Arabidopsis thaliana: one gene and its partners. The protein of the gene in region 2 interacts with the protein of the main gene of each other region in a pairwise test. Each region holds a gene or a part of one and is shown on either strand. Other genes may lie near its edges.

What was found. Proteins that work in one complex are often made in the same cells at the same time.
Region 1: the proteins of SK3 (region 2) and HWS interact in a two-hybrid assay, tested with the Arabidopsis thaliana proteins (2 studies listed by BioGRID).
Region 3: the proteins of SK3 (region 2) and AT2G04230 interact in a two-hybrid assay, tested with the Arabidopsis thaliana proteins (2 studies listed by BioGRID).

Annotation. Positions count from the first base shown.
Region 1 is NC_003074.8:22,789,178-22,795,349, forward strand, and holds HWS (Galactose oxidase/kelch repeat superfamily protein), read left to right. Parts: upstream 1-2,934; 5' UTR 2,935-3,290; coding exon of another isoform or gene 3,291-3,302; 5' UTR 3,303-3,490; coding exon 3,491-3,586; intron 3,587-3,724; coding exon 3,725-4,972; 3' UTR 4,973-5,164; downstream 5,165-6,172.
Region 2 is NC_003071.7:10,946,644-10,951,155, forward strand, and holds SK3 (SKP1-like 3), read right to left. Parts: upstream 2,984-4,512; 5' UTR 2,909-2,983; coding exon 2,591-2,908; intron 2,445-2,590; coding exon 2,271-2,444; 3' UTR 2,104-2,270; downstream 1-2,103. UniProt on the Arabidopsis thaliana protein: Involved in ubiquitination and subsequent proteasomal degradation of target proteins. Together with CUL1, RBX1 and a F-box protein, it forms a SCF E3 ubiquitin ligase complex. The functional specificity of this complex depends on the type of F-box protein.
Region 3 is NC_003071.7:1,445,787-1,452,112, reverse strand, and holds AT2G04230 (FBD, F-box and Leucine Rich Repeat domains containing protein), read left to right. Parts: upstream 1-3,012; 5' UTR 3,013-3,434; coding exon 3,435-3,448; intron 3,449-3,549; coding exon 3,550-4,435; intron 4,436-4,554; coding exon 4,555-4,689; intron 4,690-4,776; coding exon 4,777-5,088; 3' UTR 5,089-5,318; downstream 5,319-6,326. Other genes in the region: AT2G04235 (uncharacterized protein), read right to left, coding at 354-2,699; AT2G04220 (DUF868 family protein (DUF868)), read right to left, coding at 5,789-6,326.

The sequences.
Region 1 (6,172 bases), on a different chromosome or scaffold from region 2:
GGATTTTAAAATGGTTTAGAATTCAGAAAAGAAATTTACTAGTTATTTTTTAAAAATGAATGTGTGCATGTGTGAGTGTGTTTGCTCCATAGTGTAAAGAATGAGAAGTGAGAAGTGACTTAATGTGCACAAAGGTGCCTTTGGCAGAAAGATCAAGGCCTGGTCCATAACACCCCCAAGTGACAAATTAGTATTTGCCACTATGTTCTATATACATTTTTATCCTTTCTTTGTTTATTGTTTTTCTGTGTCTTTACACGGACCACCAAATGGGCCAAATTGATTAGTGCATATTGATCTTGCTAGATCTTCCCACAATCTTCACATCGTAATCATGTTCTTTTAAGAAGAAAAAGTGTTGTTTTCACACTCTTAACTCATATATAGATACACGAAACACGATTTGACTACAGCTTCTACTCTCTAGGTTAGTTAAAGTTTTTTTATTATTTTAAAAGTTATTAGTTAGATGCTTTTCATAAACGATGCAAGAAGGTACCCAAAAAGAAGTTGCAAAAACAAATCTTATTAGAGTTTGTTTTCATTATTATCGTTGCGTTTTATTTGTTTACGAGTGAAGAAAAGAGAAACAAAAATATAGTTGCTGAAATTTTAGTATTTATAAAATTCGCAGCAATGGATATTAGAACGTATCCATAATCTGACTATAGATAATTCTATATCGTGCCAAGAGGAACCAAAATAAATTGTACATGTCGTTTGATTCATTCCTTTAATTTATTGTGTAAAGAAGGATCCAATCCTAACAAAGTCTTCAAAACCTTCACATTTTTTCGAAATTTAACGACAACTATAGGGTTTCTAGCTAGATTTGAAAGTTTTTTCACAGTTACACCTTTACCTATCTGCAGTAATACTTCCACAAAACTAACGTTAAACTTCTGCCGGTACAAATACATGTGCTTATGTAAGAATGAAAACATTTTGAATTTAATATTTTGCACTGGACACGTTTTTCTTTTGCCATTATGGATTTTCACATAGTGACGGATACGTGTAGATCCGCCGATCCCTATGACAACATAGCATTTTGGAATTTGTTTACGTTCAACTCCTTTAAATAAATAGTTAAGGCAGTGCGTCACTATACTGCTTATTACTACATAGTCTAATTTGGTATATGCTTTGATTATGGATTTATGATAATCAAAAGTTATATGGTATAACCAATTGTCGTTAGCTCAATTGGTAAAGACCTTAGGCGAAGCTTAGAGGTCGCCGGTTCGTGTGATGTTTGGGACGAAACTAATATTACATGCTGTGGTTTCGGGCCTGAGGGGATTACGGGCTTCGGCCCAAAACTTCTTGGATTTCAAAAAATAAAAATAAAAAAGTTATATGGTATATTCTTTTGGATATTTCATTCTCTTTTTAATTTCGTTTCGCCTTAACCGCATTCTCTAATTAAAAATTTAGGTACATGATTCACACTTTTACAGTTTAGCAATGTATACAGTTTCGAAACAAATTCAGTTTCCAATGCCCATGAAAACGCGTATAATACCATAAAAGTTTATGTTCTCAAACTAGATTGAGATTAGTGGCCAATTGATCATGCATGTTCCATTTAACTGAAGATATACGTAAACATGATCAATCGTCCATGAGAACAATTTCAGTCTTGCTACACTAAAATGCAACGGATCGTAAAAGTGATTTATATTTTCATAGAACCACCACATAAATAATTAACAATTGAATTCAGATCTTAAAAAACATAGACAACAGAACCAATTTTGTTCTAAAAAAAGGCACTAAGGAGCAATGTGATCATATAGTTTAATGAGCCAGCAACTAATCGCACACTTGTAATATAATGGAATATATAAATATGGGAGTAGCTAGCTATATAAACCATAAAGGGTAAGGGCATATGATCGAAAGAAGAAAGAAAGTAATGCATATGGAGCTGAGATCAGTATATAGCTTTACACGTTAAATGTAGTTAGTGCACATGACGAAAAACTAAAAATAATACACTTGAGATAATTTGCGTTGATTTTTAATTTTGAATTTGTAGAGTGAGTGTATTAGGTAAAGGACAGGCCACTGAGAAACTGCGAGAAGTCTAGGCTAAGGAAAGTAGAGAGACAGACCTTTCAGTGTTTCAAAAGCAAAGTATAATTACTAAAGGTAAATTATAATTTTTAAAAATGATCATTTATTTATTCAAATATCAAATAATTAGAAGACAATCTTTCTAAAATAAATATAAACAAAAAATGACAAAAAGGTTACCTCATGTGGTATGTCATTTTCAGCTAACCCCTCTGGTTGCCAGAGTAAATACCAAATTAAGTAACTTTTTAATTTACTAATGTATAATTGTTATCTTTCGCCCTCCTAAATTTATAACAATATATAATATACTGCTAAAAAATATATAAAACTTCTTATATTAGTAATCCGATATGTTGGTTAAATAAAATAAAACTGAAATAATCATATTTAGTCTAGGTACAATATTAATAACGCCGGGTTTAAAAAATCATTTAATTGGTTGGTTTATGAGTAAGACAGCATTATTATTGGTGTTATGATATTTCATTGTTTTTTGTGTTTGCAAGTTCTAATTTTTGTTTTTTCTTTCTTTTGCAAATAATTAAATTATTGTATATTTAATACTCACATAGTAAAAATTAAGGAAATAACACGCGCTAACACGCGCCTCAACTTTAATCATTTTATTTATTCAAACCCCATTTCGGAAATAAAAATGACAAAAAAAAGAAGAAGAGGAAGAAAAACAGCAAAAACGTCTACTCTTCTCTCATCCTCGCGCTTGCTCTCTCTTCTCTTTTTTGTCTTTCCCTTTCGTCTCTCTATCTGTCTGTATCATTCATTCGTGTTTATTTACAATCGAACCACGAAACGTCTCTTCTTCTCTATAAAAACCAGATTTTTCTCAATCTCAATCTCTCTCGCTCTCGCTCTCGTTTTCTTTGATGAACCCTTTTACTTCATTCTTACTCTTGATAAATCCAAATTCCCGAGAAACCCATTTCATTTCCTTCTTCTGTTTCTAGAAAGACCTCTTCTTTTCGATAAACCGAGATCCACGAAACCCGCATTTCCTCTCGCTAATCTATTCTAAATTTCGATACTTTTTTTTTTTTTTTATCGGTTTGAATCTCGAGAATTCCGAAGATTCAGAGTCTCCATAGTCGAAGGTGTGTAGCGAATCGAGATGGGTTTCTGTTTGATTTCACTGTCGCTTTCTCTGCTTTCATTTCTGAGTGGTTCATTGATCTCTTCCGTGTTCGTAATCTATGATTGATGATGTATGTTGTTATCAGATGTTTGATTGATGTCTGCCTATAGTCTAATTTCATTATTAAGAACGTTTTTTTTTTGTATACCTAACATCTAAATTTTGTTGTATTAATTGTCATCAGTGGAATCTTGACGTTGAAAGGATGACACAAGCTTTCTCCTTTTTGTTTTTCTTTTGTCTGAAAAATGTATTGCAATGTTAGACAAAGTCTTAATACTATCTCTCTTCTTCGTCTTCTGCATTTTCGATTTACCATTATGCATGTATGCTAAAGCAAATCTGATTGACAAGGTTTTCTCTTGATTTATGTATTGTTGTTTTGTGTTGTTGAAATGAATGATATTTGGGATTCAGATTCGTAAAGCTTTAAATCTTTATGTGTTCTTTTCTTGGTAATGGATTTATTTATTTTTTGTATCGTTGTTTCAGAGGCTCTTGAGAATGGAAGCAGAAACGTCTTGGACCAATTATCCGTACAGCTACATTACATATGTCCCTGAAGCTGAATCATACCGTGAGCAGAGCGACGATGAAGCCAAAGTCGAAACCTTTTCAATGGATTCTCTTCTCCCTGACGATTTATTAGAACGAATCCTCTCGTTTCTACCCATTGCAAGCATCTTCAGAGCTGGTACTGTCTGCAAAAGATGGAACGAGATTGTATCTTCTCGGAGGTTCTTATGTAATTTCTCCAACAATTCGGTTTCCCAAAGGCCTTGGTACTTCATGTTCACTACCACGGATGATCCATCTGGTTATGCTTATGACCCCATTATCCGCAAATGGTACAGTTTCGATCTCCCTTGTATCGAAACATCCAATTGGTTTGTTGCTTCCTCTTGTGGATTGGTTTGCTTCATGGACAATGATTGCAGAAACAAGATTTATGTCTCAAATCCAATTACCAAACAATGGAGGACGCTTATTGAACCTCCTGGTCACAAATCGACAGATTACACGGCAATGTCTACCTCCGTAAACCGAGCGAACCAAGCAGTAAACCGCGCAAACCGGAGTTACTCAGTCTCGATAGTGAAATCGAAGCAAGTTCCAGGGAATTTCTTCCAATGGGATCTCTCTATTCATCTCTACAGCTCTGAAACAATGACTTGGACAACATTAGTAAACGATGTCTTATCCGGATGGAGAGGAGGGAACGAGAGTGTGATCTGCAACAATGTTCTTTACTTCATGATATACTCAACGGGAGGCTCAGATCATCGCCACGGCTTGATCGCTTCGAATCTATCCTCGATAGGATCACCGTCAAGCGGAATCTTGATGAGGAGTTTCATTCCAATGCCGTGTTCTTTAACCTGCGGGAGATTGATGAATCTAAGAGAGAGGCTTGTGATTGTCGGAGGAATCGGGAAACATGATCGACCAGAGGTTATAAAAGGGATAGGGATTTGGGTTTTGAAAGGGAAGGAATGGGTAGAGATGGCGAAAATGCCTCAAAGATTCTTCCAAGGTTTTGGTGAATTCGACGAGGTTTTCGCGAGTAGTGGCACGGATGATTTGGTTTACATTCAAAGCTATGGATCTCCCGCGCTTCTCACGTTCGACATGAATCTCAAGTATTGGAGATGGTCTCAGAAATGTCCTGTTACTAAAAAGTTCCCTCTTCAGCTCTTTACTGGGTTTTGCTTCGAACCAAGACTCGAGATTGCTCCTTAGTTGCAATGAAGAAGCAAATGGGTCTGTGAAAGTCTTGGTCTTTTGGATTGTTTTTGCACAGAGAAATCGCCGGCGGCTTTATGAAGATGATGATACGGTAATGTTTTTAAATTTTAGTTACTGGAAATGTTTTTCAGGAATATTGTTATTTGCAATTTGGTACTCTGTTAATTATAAATTTATAAAATGAGGCCCAGATACTTTTATTTGAACAAACGAACCCTTCTCTATCTCTCAGTGAAATATAAGAACATTTTTCAACATGTGGCCCACAATATCTCATGTAAATGGGTCGGATTCTGAAACTGGAGGTTGTCTTGTTGCTGTTCCTGGTGGATAAAAATAATGATTTTGTTCCTTTTTTTTCCACATATATTCATAATGATTTTTCATGTTTTATTAATTAATTATTGTTGTAAATTATTTTAAAGAATTATGTTTCTGTACTTGTATAAAATTGGGACCTATTTTCGTGATGGGATTTGTCAGGTTTGGCAGTGTTAGGTTTACGGGTAATGGACAACAGCTATTTTATTGTGTATTTTATCATTTTCTCAAGGGTCACTTATTTTCAATTTTCATAGCTATAATAATTTACTAAATTTTAAAATATAACAAAATGTCATTCATTAGTTATAATCGTATAAAAGTTGACGAAGTGATATATAGATTCTACATACTAAAAACAAAATTAATTTGTGTCATTATGCCAAAATGTCAAAAGGAAAAGAAAATTTAGACAATTACTCTGACACATCAAATCAGCTAAAACCTAACTAAATATACCAAACTAGCAACACATATTTTTGTTATTAAAAGCATTTATAATGATAAATCATGATCAGAATCATAGTAAGCAGATTCGAACACTAGTCTCTCAAATTTCGGTAGTAAAGTTTTCAACCATTAGAAGACAAATACGATTTTAACATCATTAGTATTGTTTTTTCTTTTTTAATTTAAGCGTTGGCTTTCCAAAATGAAATAGTAACAAGCATTAACGAGTTAAGTTGTCAATGGGGGAAGTTAAAACTCTTTAAAACCAAAAAATTGACCACACAACACATATAGTGCCCACTAGTTCTCTCAAACGAATATGGAATACTTTAAAACCCACCTCTATTCTCAAGAATTAAAGCCCAGAATTTCAACGTTCTAAAAATAGTTTTGAAAGATTTGTTTTTCACGGGTTTTTCGTAA
Region 2 (4,512 bases):
ATTTTGTAAGTGAGCGAGTAGCTAAATGTGAGCATGCATGGGAAATGGTAAAAAAAGAAGAGAAATTGATCAAGACAATACTTCAAAGGTCCGAACATCTTCATCATTCGCAACATGGTCCGTATGGTATTTATATATGCATTAGTTATATAATTATCTATATGATAATTAAACTCTATATATAATTGACTTATATGGCTTGGGTTTAATTAATTTTCTTTTTTCTGTGATTCTGCTTGTAGTCGAAATTCTTAATTTGATGGTTGATGTGAAGCACACATCAAATGTGATTATAGAAGAAAGATCATCAAGTTCAAAAAAAGTAAACAAAAAGAAGAAAAAATTAGAAAATGATTGATATGATCACTATAATTTATGGGTACATATGTTTAAATATCATTTAATAGTGTAATGAAAATTTATTGAGATAAAATGAGGCTAAGAATTTGGTTATGATTGGATACTGCAAGATATATGTCTATCTCTCTCCTATTATTTGTGATGTCGGTGATATGAACATGAACTATAAGTCATGTCCTCCGCCTCCACTAATCATCTATAAACATATCAAAATAGCCACAATACCCGTTTGTGTATTGTAGAACAGTCTTCCATGTATGTCAGAATCCAAGAACATACAAACCCTAAATTCAAAATCCTAGACTATACACGAGATTAATTCAGAATCCTGGAAAGGGTAAATCAAAGCCTAGCTATTTTCGAAGATCTATGATACAGTGATGATCAAAGATGTTGATGATCGAATAAGTCAAATTGAATATTTTCCAACGCGATGCCTCAGGTTGATCAATGATCATCTTCCAAGAACGAAAAATTCAAAAGATCTTGCATACAAAATAAAGGAATGAGTCACAGACTTTAGGAGGCTCACCAATATTATTTAGAACATTTCATCTGAAAGTTTACGATACAGGTCATCCTTAGCAGCTTAGACAAAAAGGTAAGGATAACACAATTTAATATCACATTCAATACAAGTGCAAAAAAAATAGTTTATAAAGAAAAAATCTTCCATCTATCCCCCACACAATAAATCATACACAATAACAACGAGATTCATACTTTATGAAGCCATCATTTGAGATAAATTAATAAATGTATGATCTACTGTGTCTATTGACTTTTTGTTTTTAGATTTAGGTTCTGTTATTTTGTTACGTATGTTCATAAACTTTTAAAAGTTTGATTAATGAAATCACATTCATAATTTCGTAAATTGAGTCGTGATCTGATATAGTGTTATTGTTAATGTAGAAACAAACATGAATACAAAATCTTTTCTAAGTTAGGACCAATCATTTTAAACATTCAGAGTCTATCTACAAAAAGATATAATAAGCAATCAAAAGCAATTTAACATTATTACTAACCTGTGTTTTATTTTCGAAAATAAGTCATTTGTCACTGCGACTAATGCTTCTAAATATTGCTATAGGAAACATCTATGATTGAAAACATTTGACTTAGTTTTATATAACACTCGGAATCTATCCCTTTTGTTTTAAAGATTATAATGAACTCTTCTTACCTTTGTATTGGTAACAACAGAGTTTAGTGTCTTTCTTACCAAACATTGACCGTTCTCATCTGAGATATACAAGCATATACAGCAAAACATATTAGTTGGTATAAGCAGAATCATCTGAATTATGCCAATCATGTACGAGTTTGATCAATGTATAAGGAAAGCTTATTTTTAATTTCACTATCACCAAAACAAAACCATTTTTATATTGGTTCGAATGATGCAAAAGGTCCTTTCTTCCTTTCTGTAACCAATTTAGTTATACATACCAATCATTTTATAAGGAAATTCAAAAAATCTATATCTTAAGCAGATAAGAAAGGAAGATAAGCTCTTACCATTGGATTTCAGAAATTGAGACTATTTCAGATCCGACCATGTTCATCTGGCCTCATATCGTCTATGGCTCGGGCAAACATGTTATTGTATCATAAAATAAACGTGGCAAATTGGATATATAAATACATCATAATTATATAGCTTATATAGATAGACGTATTATTATCTCTTTTCTGTTTTTTTTGTCTGTGAAATCGTTTGATTGATAATGCATATTACTTTGTGATTTTATGTATATAAAGTTTAGCCGGGATTGAATGAAGAAAATGTGAAACACTTCTGGGAGTTTTGTGACAAAAGAGATTGGAAGCAAAAAGAAATTCAGGCAAAATAAATTTCTCTTATTTTATTTGTTGATATCAAATGTTCTTAAATTCTTTTCCAATCACTCGAACGCCCACCTGTTCTCATTGCGAACCTCGGCCTCTTCCTCAGGTGTGTAGTCGTTCTTGATGTTGAAGTGTTCACGCATCTGCGCTGGAGTTTTGCCTCTCATCTGATCAGCCACGGCCTTGCACGTAAGGTCAAGAAGTCCACTGATGTTCAAATAGTTGGCAGCCTTTATAAACCAAGACGATTAGTCTCCAAATCAAAACACAACATTCAATAATATAAATAAAACCCTAACATAGTCATGGAAAAAATATAAAAAACCCTAATTCTAAAAACATAAAACCAAAAAACAAAGAAAAAGACATTACTAACCCGAAGGAGATCGAAGAGAGTAGGATGATCAACTTTGACGAAATCGTTGTCCCAAGTCTTGAGCTCGTGGTTCTCGGTGGAACCATAGAAATCCTTGTCTCCACCAGCCTCAGCAGCGGCTTCAACGTGTTTCTTGCAGTACTCGATAACCTTCGCGAGGATGGCTCCGGTGACATTGGGAAGTGGAATTCCGTTATCGACGCAGTCGTCCTCGATCATGTGCTTAATCGTCTGGGACTCGACCGCGACGGCTTCCTCGACCTCGAAGGATTCACCGTCGGAGCTCTTGAGGATGATCATCTTCTTCGTTTCTGCCATCGTTTGCAACAAGGACAAAGGACTAGACAAGTTTTGAAGAGAATCGGCTCTGCGATTGATTGTGAATTGTGTGATGGTCTCAAGGTTTGGGAAGTTGGTGCCCTATTTATAGATCTATGTAAAAACAATTTCTTACTTGGTAATTAAAGTCGGTTGATTGCTTTTATGTTAATCTAATCCTTTTAATAATAGGAAAACAATAAAAGGGAAACAAATATTGGAATTTTAAGTAACAAAATCTTTATTATTTTTTTCTTTTAAAGAGAAATATTTTTACTTTTCCAAAAGCTCAACCTTAGTAATAATATTTACTTTCCAGATTTACCCGTATCTGATTTCAGAAAATACAGTTAATCATCTACTACGTGTGAAAAAATCATTGACTAGGGTCTTATGTTTTAATAAAAGTAAACCTCCACGTTCACATAGATTATGAATTAATTATTATTTGTGTATTTTGTAGTGAATATCAATGAAAATGTAAAAATTGGTAACCAACACCACAATTTTTTTAATAAATTATTATTTACTGGGTAAAACTACGTTACACTAAACAAACTGAAATTAACGAACATTCATGGGTTTTGGTTTTTAAAATTGTTGGAGAAAAATATGATTATAGTTTTAGTTAATTTTTATGTTCATTTTGTGTGTGAATTAGATACTGTTCTTTTCTCCATTCAGATGATCTTTTAAATTATTATAAACGAACGTCAATATTTATCTTCATTTAGATGAATCATCGAATGGAAAAACGAACAGTACTTTAAAAGATTAGCGAGAAGGATCAGTTGGATGGTTTTTAATAAACTCATTTAAAAAAGGAACAGAACAGCAGTTAACGGAAGCTGATTTAATCCAAAATACGAAATGTCATAAAATACACCTACCTAAAAAGAATTCCAGCAAAACCTAAACCTATTTCTCCTTCATTCCTCGACATTCACTTCGCCGGACCTCTTCACTGGATCTCTCACTAGAATTCACTCCTATCTCTTGCCGTAATCCACTATTCTTTGCCGGATTTCTCGTGCGTTCTCTCTCTCTCACTCACTCTCTCCTTCTATCTCTCTGTTTCATGGATTTGATTTCACTATTTCTCACTCTCCCCTTCTACCTCTCTATCTCTTGCAGTAAGACTCACGGGTTTGATTTGTCCTTGAGTCATTAGATGGATTCGATTATTTATTTTAGCTCGTTTTGGACAAAGTAAGATTCATGGGTTTTGTATTGAGTTTATGATGCTTATAAGCTATAATTTTCATGGGTTTTTGTATTTGTCGAGATTCATGGGTATGAGCTGATTCATGAGTTTTGTATCTATTGTGTATTTAGAAACTGATATGCTTTAGAATTGTGTGTCAGTTTAGGGTATAATTTAGGTCAGTTTATCACTGTCAATAACCATCTTTCAGTTATATCAATGCTGTATTTTCATCTAGTTCAGTATTAGATTGTTTGATGAAAAGTAACAAAGTATCAATATGTCATTACTAAATCAGGATTTATATGCTAACAGAGTTAAGCTTAGATTTGGGAATTAACAATAAGCTGCATCGGTAGACATAAGTCAGAGAATTTTGTTATACTTTTAATGTCAACAA
Region 3 (6,326 bases), 9.5 Mb from region 2:
AAAGTTCAGAAATCAGGCTCAACATTAAATTGTATCATTACATCCTTACGGATAGCTCTGAAATATGATAGTTCTTCTCCTGCATTCTGAGTAATTTATTTCAGAAATGCACTGCTCAAGGTCTTTGATGGAATCCCAGTCAAAATTTTCAATCTGAATGACCTTTTAGCGGGTTCTTAACCTCTTACAATGGAATGTCTGGTTCAGCTGTTGGTGTAAAAAGGCCAATTTGGAATTTTACAACCATCTCAGAGATCAACAAGATCCATTCACGTTCAGAAATAAATTGTGTAATTCTTATGTCCTGTCGAAAGATAGTTCTTCAAAACATGTACATGGGTCTAGGATTATACCTTAGCATGTGAAGCCTCATTCTTGCTTCTGTCCACAGATGAAGAGCCAGAGGTACTAGGAAGGTTTTCTTTAGCTACAGCAGTAAAGTCTTCAGCTGAGATAACTTCTGTTTCACAATGGACTTTAAAGGGATTATTATCTTTCAGAAGGATATGAGCAGCACTGATATTGGTTCTGTTTTGCTTTTTGTTCCGCACACTGTCCTTCTCTCTTTGTTGAGCAGAGCCATTCAAGAAGCCTGTATCGGTAAGTAATACGCTAGATTCTGCAAGCAGGGAATCCACTTTCTCAGATAATGTATTCATAGAACAATTACTAGCATATTCCTTGGTCACATTTCCATCCCCAGTCTCAGATTTTTCGATGTCTTTACTATGCTGCTCTTGATCTTGAAGAGGAACAAAATTCTCCGATGCTGACGTTGTTGCATTTGACAAATTTGTTGGAGATGACACAAACTTCTCAGGGGTGCTGGCTGCCTGATTTCTCTGTTGTTGTTTACAGAGCAGTGAACCTTCTATCTCAGAATTAGTATTTCCTTCTGGACTTCTCCGTGCAAACACATCGCTAATGTCAACAGCAGGAATCAATGCACCGCAACTGTGTTGATCTGGTATGCCTTTCTTTTCAGAAACTGGTGGCCTGTCATCGCTAGTGTCAACAGCAGGGCTCAATGCACCACTACTGCATTGATCTGGCAAGCCTTTCTTTTCTTGAACTGGTGTTCTATTATCATCGCTAGTGTCAACGGCAGGGTTCAATGCACCACTACTGCATTGATCTGGTATGCCTTTCTCTTCTGGAACTGGTGTTTTATTATCATCGCTAGTGTCAACAGCATGGCTCAATGCACCACTAATACATTGATCTGGTATGCCTTTCTCTTCTGGAACTGGTGTTCTATTATCATCGCTAGTGTCAACAGCATGGCTCAATGCACCACTAATGCATTTATCTGGCATGCTTTTCTCTTCAGAAATTGGTGTTCTATTATCATGTTTAGATAACAAAGCCTCCAAGTTGGTAATGGGTATATCCGCATGCTTATCCCTGAGTACACCTATTTCTTCCCTCCCAATTGATGGGGTAGTCAGAAAACGGTGTCCGGATAATTGAAGCTTTGATTTCTCAATTCTTTGAGAAAGAGCAGAACCAGGTGACGGTGGAATCAAACCAAGTCTGGATTTGCTTTTCTGAATGGTTGACAAGCTCTCAACTAGTGCCCGAGTCTCCCTGCTCATAAAGCTTCCACCCTGTGTAGGGGAAGGAGTAACACAAGATAAAGACTGAGGCAACATACCAACTAAAAACGCACTTTGCCTTCTAATAGTTGACGAGGAAAGGGAAGCCTCTTTTGTGTAACGTTGGCTTCCTGATTCCTGCAGACCTATGGGAATGCATCCATTTGGAAGGGACGAGGAAAAATCATCGATAGGTGATCTTGCTTCCACAGTATTGTCTTCAGGAAGCAATTCCTTGCTTTCATCTCCCATTAGAGCTGCTAGTGTAGGAGATAGATACCCGTAATCATATCTCCGAGAATTTTCACCGACGATACTCATATCATTCGAGTCTCTACCACCACTTCCTTTATCAACTGGTACAGGTGATTTTGGAAATAGCTTCTTAGGTTCTGTTAACACCATTGCACTTCCTGTATCAGATCTGGAAGTAACCTCAGTTGGTGTTTTCTCTTCTACTAGAAGATGGCTACTCGTAGGGGTCCTTACATCTCCAGACTCTGACCTAGCAAGACTCCGAAAATGCATCGAAAACGCCGTAGAATCCATCGTCATTTCATGGTGTTCTTCAGAGATAGGAGTATCCAACAATCTTCCAGGATTAATAAAATGGGAAGACACAGGACCGAAGAAATTATCCTCTGGTAACGAAAACAAAATCGATTCAGCTAAAAATTCAAAGAACAAAACCCTAAATTCACAGAGCAATTGAAGCGTACCGTTATCACTTGTAGCGGAACCAACAGTGCTACCTCCTGAAGATGGAGAATATTTCGGCCTCAAGAATGATTTATCCAAGATAGGTTCGTATTCACCATCACCATCTCCGTCAGTATCTTCGCGGTCAGATAATTCACCGAAAAACCTAATTACTTTATTATCCTCATCAGGCTCTGATGTATCACCACCGTTTTGGGGTTTCGCGGCGGAGGTATTGGGCGGCGTCTCGTAATCTTCGTCCCGGTTGAAAATGTGAACGGAAGTAATTTCCCGGTCGGCGAAGCTCACTCGTCTTAGCCGCTTCCGCCGTTGCGCTATAGATTCCTCGTCTGTTCCTATTCCGGCGGTGTTGTTCATCGGATCTTCTGGCTTTTCCGATGCCATTGGGGGAATTTTCGAATTTTTAGGGTTTGAAATTGAATTATTAATGTGCGGGAAATGCAGACATTTTAAGTTTTAATTTGAACAGTACTGAGAAGGAAGAACATTTTGATTTTGATTGAATTGATTAAATCGGGTAAATGAAATTTCAAACATAGTTAGGCCTAACCATTTGATTAATTAGATTAACCGGTCGATTAATATTTATTCTATAATACTTTTTTCTTTGTACGATTGGGCCTTACTTATAAAGGGCCGAATAAAAAAGCCCATTTAAAGAAAGACTTCTTTTTCGTTTTGCATGTGAATGTGTTGTTGGGATTAGATTCGATTCTTAACCATCGGTCTCGTTCATTTCGACTTCACTTTTCGTCCTCTTTCTTCTTCAGATCATGTATGTATGTCGCTAGTAGACATGGATCCATCAAATCTCTGAGACACCTGAGCTTGATGAATAGCCATAGACAAAGCTCTTCGATGCAAATTCTCTTCAACAGCAATCAACTTCCTCTGTGAACGATTCATTCTCTTGCTTCTGGATCAATCTCCTCCACTTCTGATAACAACATCTTTCTTCTTCATGCAGATTACTCTGTTACCCATTATTCACAAAACCCTGAATTTTGCCCAAAGTGATTCCATCATTGCTTAGCTTTAGCCGGGTTCTTGTTTGGAGCTGTTCCTTATGCAAAAAAAATCTGAAAGTTTCTTAGCGAATTGTTACCTCTATTAATTTCAATGGAACAGAAATTGTAAGTATCTTTGGTTCGTTTATGTTTTTCTTAGCTGTTATAAAGATCCAACCCTAACTCTTTGAACCCTAACTTTTTTTTTTTCCTTTGATTTTTGACAGCAAAACCGATTCTATGAATGAGGACAGAATCAGTGACTTGCCTGATGCTTTGCTTCTACAGATATTGTCTTCACTTCCGACAGAAAACGCCATAGCCACGAGTGTTTTGTCTAAACGTTGGAGATCTCTTTGGACTATGTTGCCAAAACTCAAGTTTGATTCCAATTTCAATCCTGTGTTTGATGATGATAACATAGATCCCACTATGTTTTCAGAGAATGTTTACAAGACTTTGTCTTTACATAAAGCTCCGGTTCTAGAGAGTTTGCATTTGTCATTTGAAGGTAGAACAGATTGTTTGCATGTTGGAATATGGATTGCAACAGCATTTGCTCGCGGTGTGCGTAAATTGGTATTGGATAGTTTCTATCAAGAGGATCAAACTGTCACGCTTCCTAGTGTTTTGTTTAGCTATAATGATTCACTTGAGATCTTGAAACTCAAGTGTGCTATCGATTTAGACTTTCCTTCTCGGGTTTGTTTGAAGTCTCTTAGAAAGCTATACCTTGACCAAGTACATTTCAAAGACGAAGAATCTGTTTGCAATCTTTTATGTGGCTGCCCTAGTCTTCAAGATTTGGTCGTGCATAGATATAGCAATGCCGATGTGGCGACTTTCACAATTGCGTCGCCGTCATTACAAAGATTGACCATAGAAGATCTTAGACAAGAAGGAGGTTATGGAAATGGAAGCTATGTGATAAATGCCCCTGGTTTGAAATACTTGAACATCAACGGGGTTATTGATATTGAGTCTTGTTTGATTGACAAGGCACTAGAGTTAGAGGAGGCAAAAATCAGTAACGTTTCTGGTATAACCAATGAGAACATTCTGGAGTCTCTAACTTCAGCCAAACGTCTTATCTTACACTTATCACCCCTTGAGGTAAGCTTAAGATTGAACATTTTCGCTTGGTTATTTTCTCTGCAAATTGGGCTAACACTGTTTTTGTGTATCTAAAATGTATGTAACAATGTTACACTGTTTTGTGGAAATGTACTTAGGTTAAAGTTCCTACTGGTAAAATCTTCGATCAACTAGGCTGTCTAGAGCTACTTACACACGAAAGAGAGTGGTGGAATCTGCTTTCGATCATGCTTGATAGTTCTCCTAAACTACAAATCCTCAAGCTCACGGATGTAAGCAATTTCACTAGTTGTTTGTTTCCACAACTCCACTTTCAGGTAATTTGTTGATTTAGATGACATAAACTGCATTGTTCCCAGGTATATCTGCATGACAACAAAACAAATCCGGACGAACGAAAATGGAATCCACCAAAATGTGCACCGGAATGTTTGTTGTTCCATCTTGAGACATTCTTGTGGATAGGATATGAATGGCAACGAGGTGATGAGAAAGAAGTTGCCACATACATCCTAGAAAACGCAAGACGGTTGAAGAAAGCAACTTTCTCCACAAAACGCATCGGAAGGGAAAAGCTCGAAGATTTTGAGAAGAGGCGTGAGATGCTCAACGAGTTGGCTATTGTGCTCTGGGATTCAAATTCATGTCACCTTGTGTTCGAATCTACTTAATATCTTAGACTTGTATTTTGTTGGCCATTGGGAAATGTTTACTTGGCTGCTCTACCATATATGTTAGATGCTAAATGTTTGGTGACCTTTTGAGGAAGAGTATCAGAAGATTATTACTTCTATACTAGATAATAATCCGCGGTATATTGCGGGTTAAAATCTTTTTATATAGTATAAAGTTTAGATTTGTTGCCATCCGAATATCTATTTTTTGAATATCTTGCATCAACTAGAAGAGTTTCTCTCAATGCTAAAGTGCTTCAAGAGATTCGTTGGCTCAATCTTATGAGGCTATATAATTTATTTCATTTGGTTGCAAAGAAGGTTAAAATGAAAAATACTTGGGTTCAAATACTACAGAGCATTACAAATAGTTCTACGGCACAAGGGGAGGAAACTCATCGCTCGCGGAGTGCATCCAAACTTGGTTTGCGACAAGGCAATGCTAAGGATAGATTTAAACTAAAAGTTACGAAATTTTTTGCATTAAACATGTGTAAACTTTTGTTTTTTCTTTGAATATAATTTAACATTAGATTCAAACAAAAAATAGTTTCCTGCGACATGACATTGTTGTTTGAAGTCAGGACTATGATGTTATCATTTGTCAATAAAAGATGAAGAACAAGATAAGATTTACAGCCACATGACACAACAATAAGTGAATAGACAAAAGCTTCTTAATTGTTTCCAAGAACTACTACTCAAGTTTGTATGCATGAAGAAAAAGGCAAAACTCTGGCGGCCAAGGGTTACTACTCTTGGTCGAATAATACCTGCTCCCTGTACTTGTATCGCTCTCACCACCACCACCACCACCGTGACCACTTCCTTCCATGTCGCTGTCTTCGGTGGTCCCTGGTTTGAATATGAACAAACCATGGCCTGTCCCAGGCATGCTGAACAACCAATCATACACGTCCCAAAACACTTGAACAGGTTGTTTATCTACCAACACTGTCTGATTCCCTCTGAATTTCCATTGCAAATTCTTGACTTGTATCAACACAATCCCATCTATGCTAATCCACATCTCTGGCTCTTTAGGCCCGGAGGTCGAGCTTTCCACGATGATCTCGTGTTCTTTTTTCCTATCGTAAAACTTAGCCCTGGTGGTGAAACACTTCTTGCCAAACACGTTTTCTTTCTTGTAGAACAAGGCAGCCTCGACCAAAGCAGGCCTCGACTTTGTTCTCTTGAAAGCTTTCTTCTTGTAATCACCCACAAGCAAAACCACC